2 linked regions of the Drosophila melanogaster genome follow. The protein of the gene in region 1 purifies or fractionates together with the protein of each later gene. This does not show direct contact. Each region holds a gene or a part of one and is shown on either strand. Other genes may lie near its edges.

Evidence for each region. Proteins that work in one complex are often made in the same cells at the same time.
Region 2: the proteins of RpL21 (region 1) and AGO2 purify together in Drosophila melanogaster (affinity purification with western blotting, with the first as the bait; one study listed by BioGRID). This does not show direct contact.

The regions. Positions count from the first base shown.
Region 1 is NT_033779.5:22,246,639-22,249,453, forward strand, and holds RpL21 (ribosomal protein L21), read right to left. Parts: upstream 1,238-2,815; 5' UTR 1,158-1,237; exon of another isoform or gene 1,145-1,157; intron 1,084-1,144; 5' UTR 1,068-1,083; coding exon 588-1,067; 3' UTR 508-587; downstream 1-507.
Region 2 is NT_037436.4:15,552,145-15,560,141, reverse strand, and holds the start of AGO2 (argonaute 2), read right to left. Parts: upstream 6,030-7,997; 5' UTR 5,936-6,029; coding exon of another isoform or gene 5,920-5,935; 5' UTR 5,878-5,919; coding exon 5,670-5,877; intron 3,320-5,669; exon of another isoform or gene 3,293-3,319; coding exon 2,025-3,292; intron 1,893-2,024; coding exon 1,804-1,892; intron 1,749-1,803; coding exon 1,139-1,748; intron 1,043-1,138; coding exon 26-1,042; intron 1-25. UniProt on the Drosophila melanogaster protein: Essential for RNA interference (RNAi); double-stranded RNA induces potent and specific gene silencing.

The DNA.
Region 1 (2,815 bases):
AATTTTAGTTTTGATGGATGTCGATCAACTTCAGAGCTTCAAAACAACCTATGGGAGAGCATGACGGAGATCACGATATGGTTGGCGTATGTGGCACTGAAAGGCCACAAGCCTGATGCAAAATGTAGAAAAGGCCAAACCACAGCAGCAATTGTCAAGACTTGGCTCGTCTGGAAATGCCCTCACGTATATATTACTCCAGCACTGTCCGCAGACATAAATGTAATCAAATATTCGCCGTAGCCTTGAGGACGGATTTGATTTTATCTTTCTTAGTCTAGCAGCAATTTCGCAACTGCGAGAAACAATCTGTGAGCTACTGTGGTTTGAGTGAATAAATGTTTATAAATAAACAAGTCGAGAACATTTTACTCAAAATGGTAGGTAATTAGTATCAAATGACTTTGAACATAAAAACCTTTCAATAATAAGCAGACGTTGTCGCTGATCAAAACTTTAGTTGGACGCCGACCTTATTGCAAAATGAAAATTACAAAGTCTGTTTATATTGGGCACATTTTTTTTGTTTACTGAAATTATATCAAATATTATTTCATTCCGTACAATTTCCGAGCAGTAAAATGCCTTTAGGCAATGAATTCGTATGGAATCGGGGCCAGAGCAATCGGTTCTTCAAGTTTCTTAACAAAGTGCGCCTTCTTCGGCTGTTCCGGCTGGCGCTTCAGACTGACCCATTGTCCCTTTTCCTTCGCCTCCTTCAGCAATCGCTCATTTTCCTTTACGCGGCGCAAAAAATCTTCGCGGCACTTGGAGTGGTGGATGTGCTCAATGCGCACATTGACCCGCTTAGCAAGGATTTTGCCTCTTACGCGTTTGTTTACTATTACACCAACGGCGTGCTGAGTCACATTGAATATGCGCCCGGTTTTGCCATGATATGCCTTATAGGGCAAACCCTTCTGTACAGCACCATGTCCCTTAATGTCAACGATGTCGCCGATCTTGAAAACCCGCATGTATGTGGACAACGGAATAACTCCATGCTTTCGGAAGGGACGGGAAAACATGTCCCGTGTGCCGCGACGATAGCCCTTTGAGTTGGTCATTTTTATTTATAATCCCCTATAAAAAAGAGGCTTATTAGATCTTTTTCAAGTCATAATGAAGAAATATTCAACAAAACTCGTTGAACTTACGTCCACGCGGTCGTATAGTTGAGAAAAGAAAGAAAGATGGCTACTTGAATAGCGTTGCCACTGATAGCAATTAAGAGTTTAGAAACTAAATATTATGTACCGTCCACACTAAGTTACACAATAAGCTTAATCTTTTAAGAGAAGCAAAATAGTCCCAAGTCTGAATATTTGGTATTAATAAGGATTTAATGCAATATTTATGTAATACATATATTTACATTATATAAAAACATTATATATAAAATTGCACTACATACAAATGTCTAGATACAAATAATCGCTGAGAGAAGTGTTCAACTCCAAGACGTTAATATGCGCTATGGGAATAATTTGTGATTTAAGCGAATTTGTTGATACAATTTTGAAGATACATATAACCTTAAGGAAGATAAAGTCCTGCCCCATTTAATAATTTTAATTTTCAGGAACCGTTCTGCCTAAGTCTTTACTACCGTGGGACTTACTCAGTATTAATTTGCTCCCTTTTAAGAAAAGTCATTCATGATCTGATAATCGTAATTTTTTTCGAATTCGATTTAGCCAAAATCTTTTGATTTCTTTTTTAGGTGCTCTGCTTTTGGAAAATTTGTTCTATAGTTTGGATATCGCAATATGCATTCAGCGGTAAACAGCTGTTTAAGCTGTTCCAGACAACATAGCTGCCACATATTTCATAGTTTTAATTACGATGTCCGCAATTTCTTTTTTGTGGCACTTTGACCACTTAAGTAATTAAATCAAATAGAATTATTTACAAACAACACTATTGGCTCTCCTTTAAATAAATTAATGAATTCCTTCTATATATTTTATATGCCTGTTTCGTTTCACCAACAATGTTTGACCCCTTGACAAATCCAAACTTTTGTTGCCGACATCAAAATTTTGTTAGTCAAATCTGAAGTGGCGTCAGCAATAAAAATTTTATTAAATAAATTAGTGGCAGAATGATCTTGTTATGATGTGCAATAAGCATCAATAGACCACTGAGTAAACTATTTCTTCTCTTGAGTAAATAAGTTCTGTTTTAATATGAAAAAAGGCATTTACTTTTCATTTCGTGTGTCCGCTTTACATATCGAAAAAATCGTAAAAAAAAAACCGAATAATAATTAATAATTAATTTTATAAAAGCCACTCATATAAATATTTAACAGCATATATGTACATGCCACACTGTTCATTTCTTAGCGTAATGAAATAGTTTAATAAGAAATATATGAATCTATATAGGCGAGATCCGCATAATTCATCGTCATAGGATAAATTGTTTTTTTTTTTTCTGGAATCTAATTTCAAAGATTGTAGTAGTTTCAGCGCGAAACATCGATGTTTTTCACAAAAATCGTGGATGTAACATCGAAGTTTTCCGATGTTCTCTAAAATAAAATTAATATTATCATTTACACTTGAAATATAAGAAAAAAGATTTAAATATTATTAAATTCATTTAATTTAATATGTAGAATAAATTAAATATAAAACGTATAATAAAATTACAATATAAAATCAATTAGATTTAAACTGGTATAACTGGTTATATTAGAAAATTAAAAATCAGTGAGAGCTGTTCAAACAGTTGCATTTTAAGGATATCTTTTTATATATGTACATTTTGTATTTGATTTTGTATTTCTTCGGCATACCTTTAGCGTTCT
Region 2 (7,997 bases), on another chromosome or scaffold:
ATAGTGAGGAAATTCAAAAACTTACCTTGTCACAGGCTTGTTTAATACACCTCAGTTCCTCGTTTTTGATTTTCGGAAACTGGCCGTCGCTCACGCCATCTCGGTAGTAGATGATATGATCAGGATAGGCGTTACGGTACTCTTTATACACGCGCAAGTGCTCCAAAGTAATCGAGAACATGTCCTCAATCTCCTCCAGAGCCCCTCGCTGCAAACGATATTGCATGTTATAACTGGCTCCGTAGGGATCGTGTGAGGCTGCTACTCCGACCACACTGGGAATCTCGCGCTGATCGGGAGAGGGATGGGTCACATCGGCTCCAATGTACATGGTGTTCTTCATCATCGGCAGACGAGGATCATCCTTGATCTTGTGGTTGATGCCGTTCAGCTTGGAGTTGATCTTAAGTAGAATATTTCCAATCGTCTGATTATTACACTTTCGTTCCACGGTGAACTGCTTAATGCATTGCGTCAAAATTCCATGCTGCAGCTCGGCCTTCTGCTTAATTGTATCGTAAGAAATTCTAAACTGAGGAATAATCACAATTGCCAGATCGTGCTGGCTGCGCTTCAGATCCGCGAAAATAGTGTCTAGGCTGCGTTCGTCATCCGTGAACGGTCTGTATGTCACATCAGAATCCAAGCTTATGTTGACTGCCTTGCCTTGGGATATTATTAGGTTCCCGAAGTCATTCAGCTGGGTATAGTTCATTTTGCGACCACTCCTCGGATCGCAATACAAGACCGCACACTTGTGCGCCTTGGGCTTGGGCTCCAGAAACTTCATGCCATCCATGCGCCACGACCCGTTCTTCACCATAGTAAACCTCTTACTATGATATTCAACCTGAGGTGGGCTTAGGACGCGGGTGCTTACCACAATAAAATCGTTGGCAATGCGGATGCCAAAGCGACTGATGGTCGGATCCAGGTTGTGCTGGAAGTATTGCAGCAAGTTCATAATCTTGCGCTTTCGCACGTTCGTCGATGTGGCTGCGTACTTTATCATATTGGCCACCTGAGTTGCTCCATCCTTGCGCTGTGAAATACATATGTTTATAGGTATATGTAATGACAATATAGCTTACGGTATTGAACACCAAGATATAGATATAAAGGAATTTAGTGAACTCACGTTTAGGGCCTGACCTTCCTCGATGCTGCATAGCTCGATGGGCAGCAGAATACTCTTGATTGAAGATCCAACGTTCAGACAATGGAGTTGGGGAAACTTCAATGGGTAGTTGCGACTGTGGAAGTAGGACGCAATGGTGACCTTCTTCCCATCGTGTTCGAAGGTCTCACTGCTGGCCGGGGCACGAGAAAGACCATTTACACGGTATACCCTTGGAGCGCTTTGAAACGACTGAGGAGGCGTGTAAACCACATTAATGCCTCTGAGGAATGGCTCAAGGAAGCGTCGCGAATAATCTAAATTCGTTGTATTGTTGATTTTAGCCTTTAAGCTAAATCGCTCCAAATATTCGATCATCGGCATTGAAATCGGAAAGGATTTGTGCGATATATCTACATTTAAAAATGGCCTATCGCCCAGCATAAATGCCTGATACAGACCGACCAGGGCCTCGTATCCATCATCCAGTTCGTGACGATTATTAGGATCGGACATCTTAAAGAAGGAACGACCGACACGGATGGCTTTGTTGTGGCAGGGTGAAGCCAAAACAACCTCCACGCACTGCATTGCTCGCATGGGCTTGTCGAAAATTCGGTCATTCATATAACTGCAGAGGAGCGCGTTCAATAGGAGTATCCATAAAAAACATAATTTATATTTACGTAGTTAACGATTTAAGGTCAATGGTCGAGTCACCAGTCTCCTTGATTTCGATCGTGTAGCGCAAAGTACGACCATTACGATCTGTCACCTAAAATAATAAGAAATAAAAACAACTAAAATATCGTATAGATTAAATTAAATTTAACTGCCACTGTATACATTTAAAAATGTTATTACTCCCAGTTGTTCATAACTTAGTAGACAATTTCTTGCAACTTACAGTCACTTCCGGATTTTGGCTATTTAACGGCAGCTTATCCACCGAGTAGCAAGAGGCTTTGCCATCATAGGCAAGAACTGCTCCGCCCAATTGGTCCACCCGAAATTGTTCAAATGCCTGTCTGTAAAACTTTTTGGGACGCTCTGGCATGATCTTCACGTCATAGTGGTATGCCACAGAAGGCATTTTGGACAGGTCAAGGTCCAGATAGTTGATGCCTACTTGCCCGGGTTTGCCGATTGTTCCGCGCTTAATGCTCCCGGCTGGCTGAGGCGGTAATGGTAATGGGGCAGCCTGCTGTTGCTGAGGTGGTCCACGAGATTGGTATTGGCCTTGGCTCTGGGTTTGGTTTGGTTGTTGTCCAGGCGGACGCTGTTGGTAGCCACCTTCTTGCCCTTGTCGTCCTTGCTGATGGCCACCTTGTTGTTGTCCAGACGGACGCTGTTGGTAGCCACCTTCTTGCCCTTGTCGTCCTTGCTGATGGCCACCTTGTTGTTGTCCAGACGGACGCTGTTGGTAGCCACCTTCTTGCCCTTGTCGTCCTTGCTGATGGCCACCTTGTTGTTGTCCAGACGGACGCTGTTGGTAGCCACCTTCTTGCCCTTGTCGTCCTTGCTCATGGCCACCTTGTTGTTGTCCAGGCGGACGCTGTTGGTAGCCACCTTCTTGCCCTTGTCGTCCTTGCTGATGGCCACCTTGTTGTTGTCCAGGCGGACGCTGTTGGTAGCCACCTTCTTGCCCTTGTCGTCCTTGCTGATGGCCACCTTGTTGTTGTCCAGACGGACGCTGTTGGTAGCCACCTTCTTGCCCTTGTCGTCCTTGCTGATGGCCACCTTGTTGTTGTCCAGGCGGACGCTGTTGGTAGCCACCTTCTTGCCCTTGTCGTCCTTGCTGATGGCCACCTTGTTGTTGTCCAGACGGACGCTGTTGGTAGCCACCTTCTTGCCCTTGTCGTCCTTGCTGATGGCCACCTTGTTGTTGTCCAGGCGGACGCTGTTGGTAGCCACCTTCTTGCCCTTGTCGTCCTTGCTGATGGCCACCTTGTTGTTGTCCAGGCGGACGCTGTTGGTAGCCACCGTCTTGCCCTTGTCGTCCTTGCTGATGGCCACCTTGTTGACCTTGTTTAGTCCACCCTTGTACCTGCTGTTTGCCTTGTTTTTTCTGTGCAGTCCATCCTTCTGCGTCTTGGGATTTTTGCTGTTGGCCTCCTTGCTGGAACCCAGATGCACGGGATCCGCCTGAGCTTGTGGATGGCTGTTGTCTCGAACCTAGATTTAGAAATCGACAAAGAATGTTTATTACAATAGGTGTTAGGTTTCGAAAAAACTGCAAGCAAACTCTTCGAAAAGTATTCACTTGGCTGATTTGAATTTGCTAACGCGAAAATAATTTGTATCACTTTAAAATACATACAGTTTGTCAAGAAACTGTTTACACACTGTGAAATAAGTTGAATTTTTGATTTTAAAGCTAAAAATAAAGGGTTTTTTGCTTAATTAAACGCAATTTTTTTATAAAATATAATTAAACAATATTAATTTTACTTATAAATCAAAAAACAAATTAAAAATATTAAATATACAAGAAAATAAACAACAAATTCCAAGTTTACACACTTTTGAGACTGTCAAGAAACTCTTTACACAAAACACTAAATCGAAGTTTAATCCTAAATTTTTTAATTATTTTATTAAAATTTTAAAAGTTTTGGTATGTAGTATGTTCCCCATTGGCTTTAGCTACAAGTTGAAGCCTTTTTTTCATGGATTGGACAAGTTTTTGCAGGTCATATTCAAACGGGATCTTTTCACACTCTTCGACTATTACAGTCATAAGCTGTTGTTGTGTTTTAGGTCCCTTTTTGCCACCTTCTTCTTTAAGTAGGTCCACAAATTTTCAATGGGGTTCAGATCAGGACTCTGAGGGGGCGTATCGATCACTTTACCACAGTTATTAAGGCGCCAGGTGCGTACATTGCACTCTTTATGTTTCTGATCATGTCCTGGTAAAACTTAAAATTTGGCTTGTTGTTGCTAACCAGACTAATTTTTTCTACACTGGCCTTCAAATTTGTTTTTTAACATTTCTAGATATTGCACGGCATTTATTGTGCTCTCAATTAAGGCTAGTTTTCCCACTCCACGGCTGGTGATACAGCCCCACATCATCAGTGACATTTTTCCAAATTTTATCGTTGGAATGATATTTTGTTTTTCTAGCGCACTCAACGGTTTGCGCCATACTCTGCTTGGCCCGTCGTTATAAAAGAGCATCATTTTTGTTTCGTCACAAAATATGACGTCATCCCAGTACTCTTCCGCATGATCCATCATGCTCACAGCGAATTAATGACGCTTTTCCATATTGGCATCTGATAGCAAAGGGTTTTTCCTTGCAAATCTTGAAGAGTACCTATGGCGTAGGATGACTTGGCGCACAGTTTCGTGTGACACAGTTAGGTGGCATTCTTGCCTGATATCCAGAGCAAGTGATCTGACCGAGATTCGGGGGTTCGCAATCACTATTCGCATAATAAAGCGGTCTACACGCTTTTTAATTTTAATTTTCCGTCCACCACCACTCTTAGGTTCAAGCCTGCCCTCTTTTTCCGAGCCTTTTAAAACATTGTAGACGGTCTTACGGGATACAGGAAACATTTATACTAATTCTGGAAAAGATTTTCCCAACTGGTGGTTATAGTTTATTAATTGGGTAACTTCAAAAGTTAATCTCTTTCCAGGCATTTTATTAAATTTAATAATTCGCTTTAAGCACGTTTGATCAGCAAAATTTCACAAGCAAAGTCAACAAATTTCAATAGAAGCGTTGTAAAAAGCAATGCGAAGCCAAAAATAACGGAAAAATCGAGTTCGTTCTAAGAAAAAGAACAAAACAAAGTAGGAAAACAAAATGTGTAAAGAGTTTCTTGACAGTCTCAAAAGTGTGTAAACCTGGAATTTGTTGTTTATTTTCTTGTATATTTAATATTTTTAATTTGTTTTTTATTTATAAGTAAAATAAATATTGTTTAATTATATTTTATAAAAAAATTGCGTTTAATTAAGCAAAAAACCCTTTATTTTTAGCTTTAAAGTCAAAAATTCAACTTATTTCACAGTGTGTAAACAGTTTCTTGACAAACTGTATGTACATAACCTTAAATGTAAAGATATATTGATGTCAAATGTTCAATTTCGCTTCATCTTTCAGATTTTTAATAAGTTTATAATTGAGTTAAAATGTCGGATCTGGTATAAATTAAGATTAAGATTTACAGATTTGAGCAGATTTTAATTCTTAATTGTTTGATGCTTCTGCCTAAAGCACAACTGTTACATTTCATAGCAAAATTCATTTTTTTAAATATAAAGGAATTTTAATTTAGTTATGTTAAGGGGAAATTCAATAACTGTTATATACAGTAGAATTCACCTTTAAGTATAATACACACATACATAGGTTCTATACAACCATGGCAGTTGAATTTCATCATGGCTGCCACGAATTCGGGAATTCCCAGGCATTTCGAAAGTTTATGGAGCATTTGATTGCAAATGGTAAATCCATATGTACAAAACATATGTATGTACATGCATGCATACATCTATTTTTTGCCTACGCCGATATATCGCACTTTGCACTTACTTTGTTGTTGTTGCTGATGCGGTTGTTGTTGTTGCTGCTGCTGTGGTTGTTGCAGCTGCTGTGGTTGTTGCAGCTGCTGTGGTTGTTGCAGCTGCTGTGGTTGTTGCTGCCGTTGTTGTTGTTGCTTTTGCTGCTGCTGGGGCTGTGGTGCTGCAGCGCTATCCTGTCCTCCTTTCTTGTTCTCTGGGGTGGTAATTGGAAAGTGCATATATTTGAATAGCTGTATGGTCCTGCAGGTGGGACAACTCACTATCTTTTTTTCCCATGATTTACTTTTGAGGGTTTCGAGTTAACTGACGACTTTTAATAGACGATTTTTTAATGCGTCACAGTCTTTTTTAGTGATGGGAGGCCTTAGGGGTGGGCGATAAGTTATTGAGCGGCACAGCTAAAGTGTTTTCTGTTATCGATTATTGATAGGAACATACGGACTAGGCGGGCCATTCAAGTGGGGACTCTATTTATATTTGTATATTTTTATACATGTTTTGTATACATGTTGCTTGTTGAGTCAAATGTATGCTATATTCGTTGAAAAGCATGTATCCGGCAAAAGAAACCGATTTCGACCTAATAAATTATATATATTATAATATATTATATATATTATATATATAAGGACCAATAGCCGAGTCGATCTAGCCATGTCCGTCTTTCCGTCCATCTGTCAGTCCGTACGAACGTCGAGATCTCAGGATGAATAAGAAGCTAGAAAATTGAGATTACGGAAAGCCCCCAAAACTTCCCACGCACATTTTCAAAATGTTTTGACATTTTTCATATTTTTATTAGTCTTGTAAATTTCCATCGATCTGCCAAAAAACTTTAAATTGCCACGCCCACAGTTATGCAAAATGTGATATTTTTCATATTTTGATTAGTCTTGTAAATTTCTATTGATCTGCCAAACTACTATTACTCCCACAAACCGCCGAAAAGCCACGCTTACAATTTTTAACAATTTTAATTTTTTTTCTTATTTTATTCACCAATATCTAATTTGCGTTCGCATTTCCAATAGTTGAGTAACTGGCATCTGATTATCGGGGAAGTTTAAAATAGGAAAAAAATTTTAATTTACTAGTTTTTTTTTTTAAATTTTATTTTGGAAGAAGACATCAGTAAGAATCAATAAATTTAATCACCACTGCTAGAAAGCATTATTTTTATTTTTCCGCCTTTAAGTGAAAAATAGTTTTACATTCCAGAAAAAGTATTGTTTTTCCATAGATAATAAATAAATAAAAGACCCAGATTCCTGCTGTTTGTATGGTTGTTTGAATTTTATTTGGAATTGCACTTTTACTTTTGCCAAATTACAGCAACCAATCATAAAAGTTTTACAATTTTTTTTGATGTATTTTCTTGTTTTGTTTGTTTTTTCCATTTTCAACGTTAAACATACAATATATGCGTTTAAAATGCTATAGCCAAAAAATAGTAAATAGTCGTACATTATTCATACTTGTATATATAAATATATCATAATGTATATTTCATGTTGTCTTTAATTTGTTTGTTTAACGCTTTATTAATAAAATTTTGTTTGTCATTGCACGAGCGTTTTGTTTTTCAACATCGATTTCTGATTTTCGTATTTTTACTAAATATCTTTCTTTTAAAAATTTTCTAACAATTGCACAACTTCGCCCGCTTGATTTATACACACATGCACAGACATACGTAGAAATAGCTAAATTATATTTTATAGATACATATTATCGAGTTGATAGGAAATCAACGGGTTACGCTTGAAATTTCCGTTAAGTAATTTTGTGTTTATAAATTCAACTAATAAAAACTAGAATGACTCATTTAGAACGCTGCGAAAAGAATACAAAAATATCTGTATAAATATGTATGTATGCCAAAAAATTGCACTAAAACGTAAAACACAAATTGTAAACATAAAAAACAAAATAATTGCTGCGAAATTTGATTAAATTGGGTTATACTCTCAAAATATCCCTTCGGTCAGTGCAGCGCCGTCTTATAAAATAAAACTTAACAAACAATAATTCATTTTCATAATTGGCTCGGAAATTGTTTTAAATTGGCCAGGCAACGCGGCAGGTGGAGAACGCAACCGAATTGGGGATACGGATACAGATACGGATATGGATACGGATGCAGATACGGATACGGATACCCATTATAAATTCGTATGCTTTCCATCTATTGAAACTCCAACTTGACGCCCGCTGGCGAACAGATGATGAAGAGAAACTTAAATGCTGCACATAGACATAGTTCGTTACATAATCCACCTATATAGCTACATTATGGAATTGTTTAGGTATTTTATCTCGTCGTCAGCTTTCGTTATTC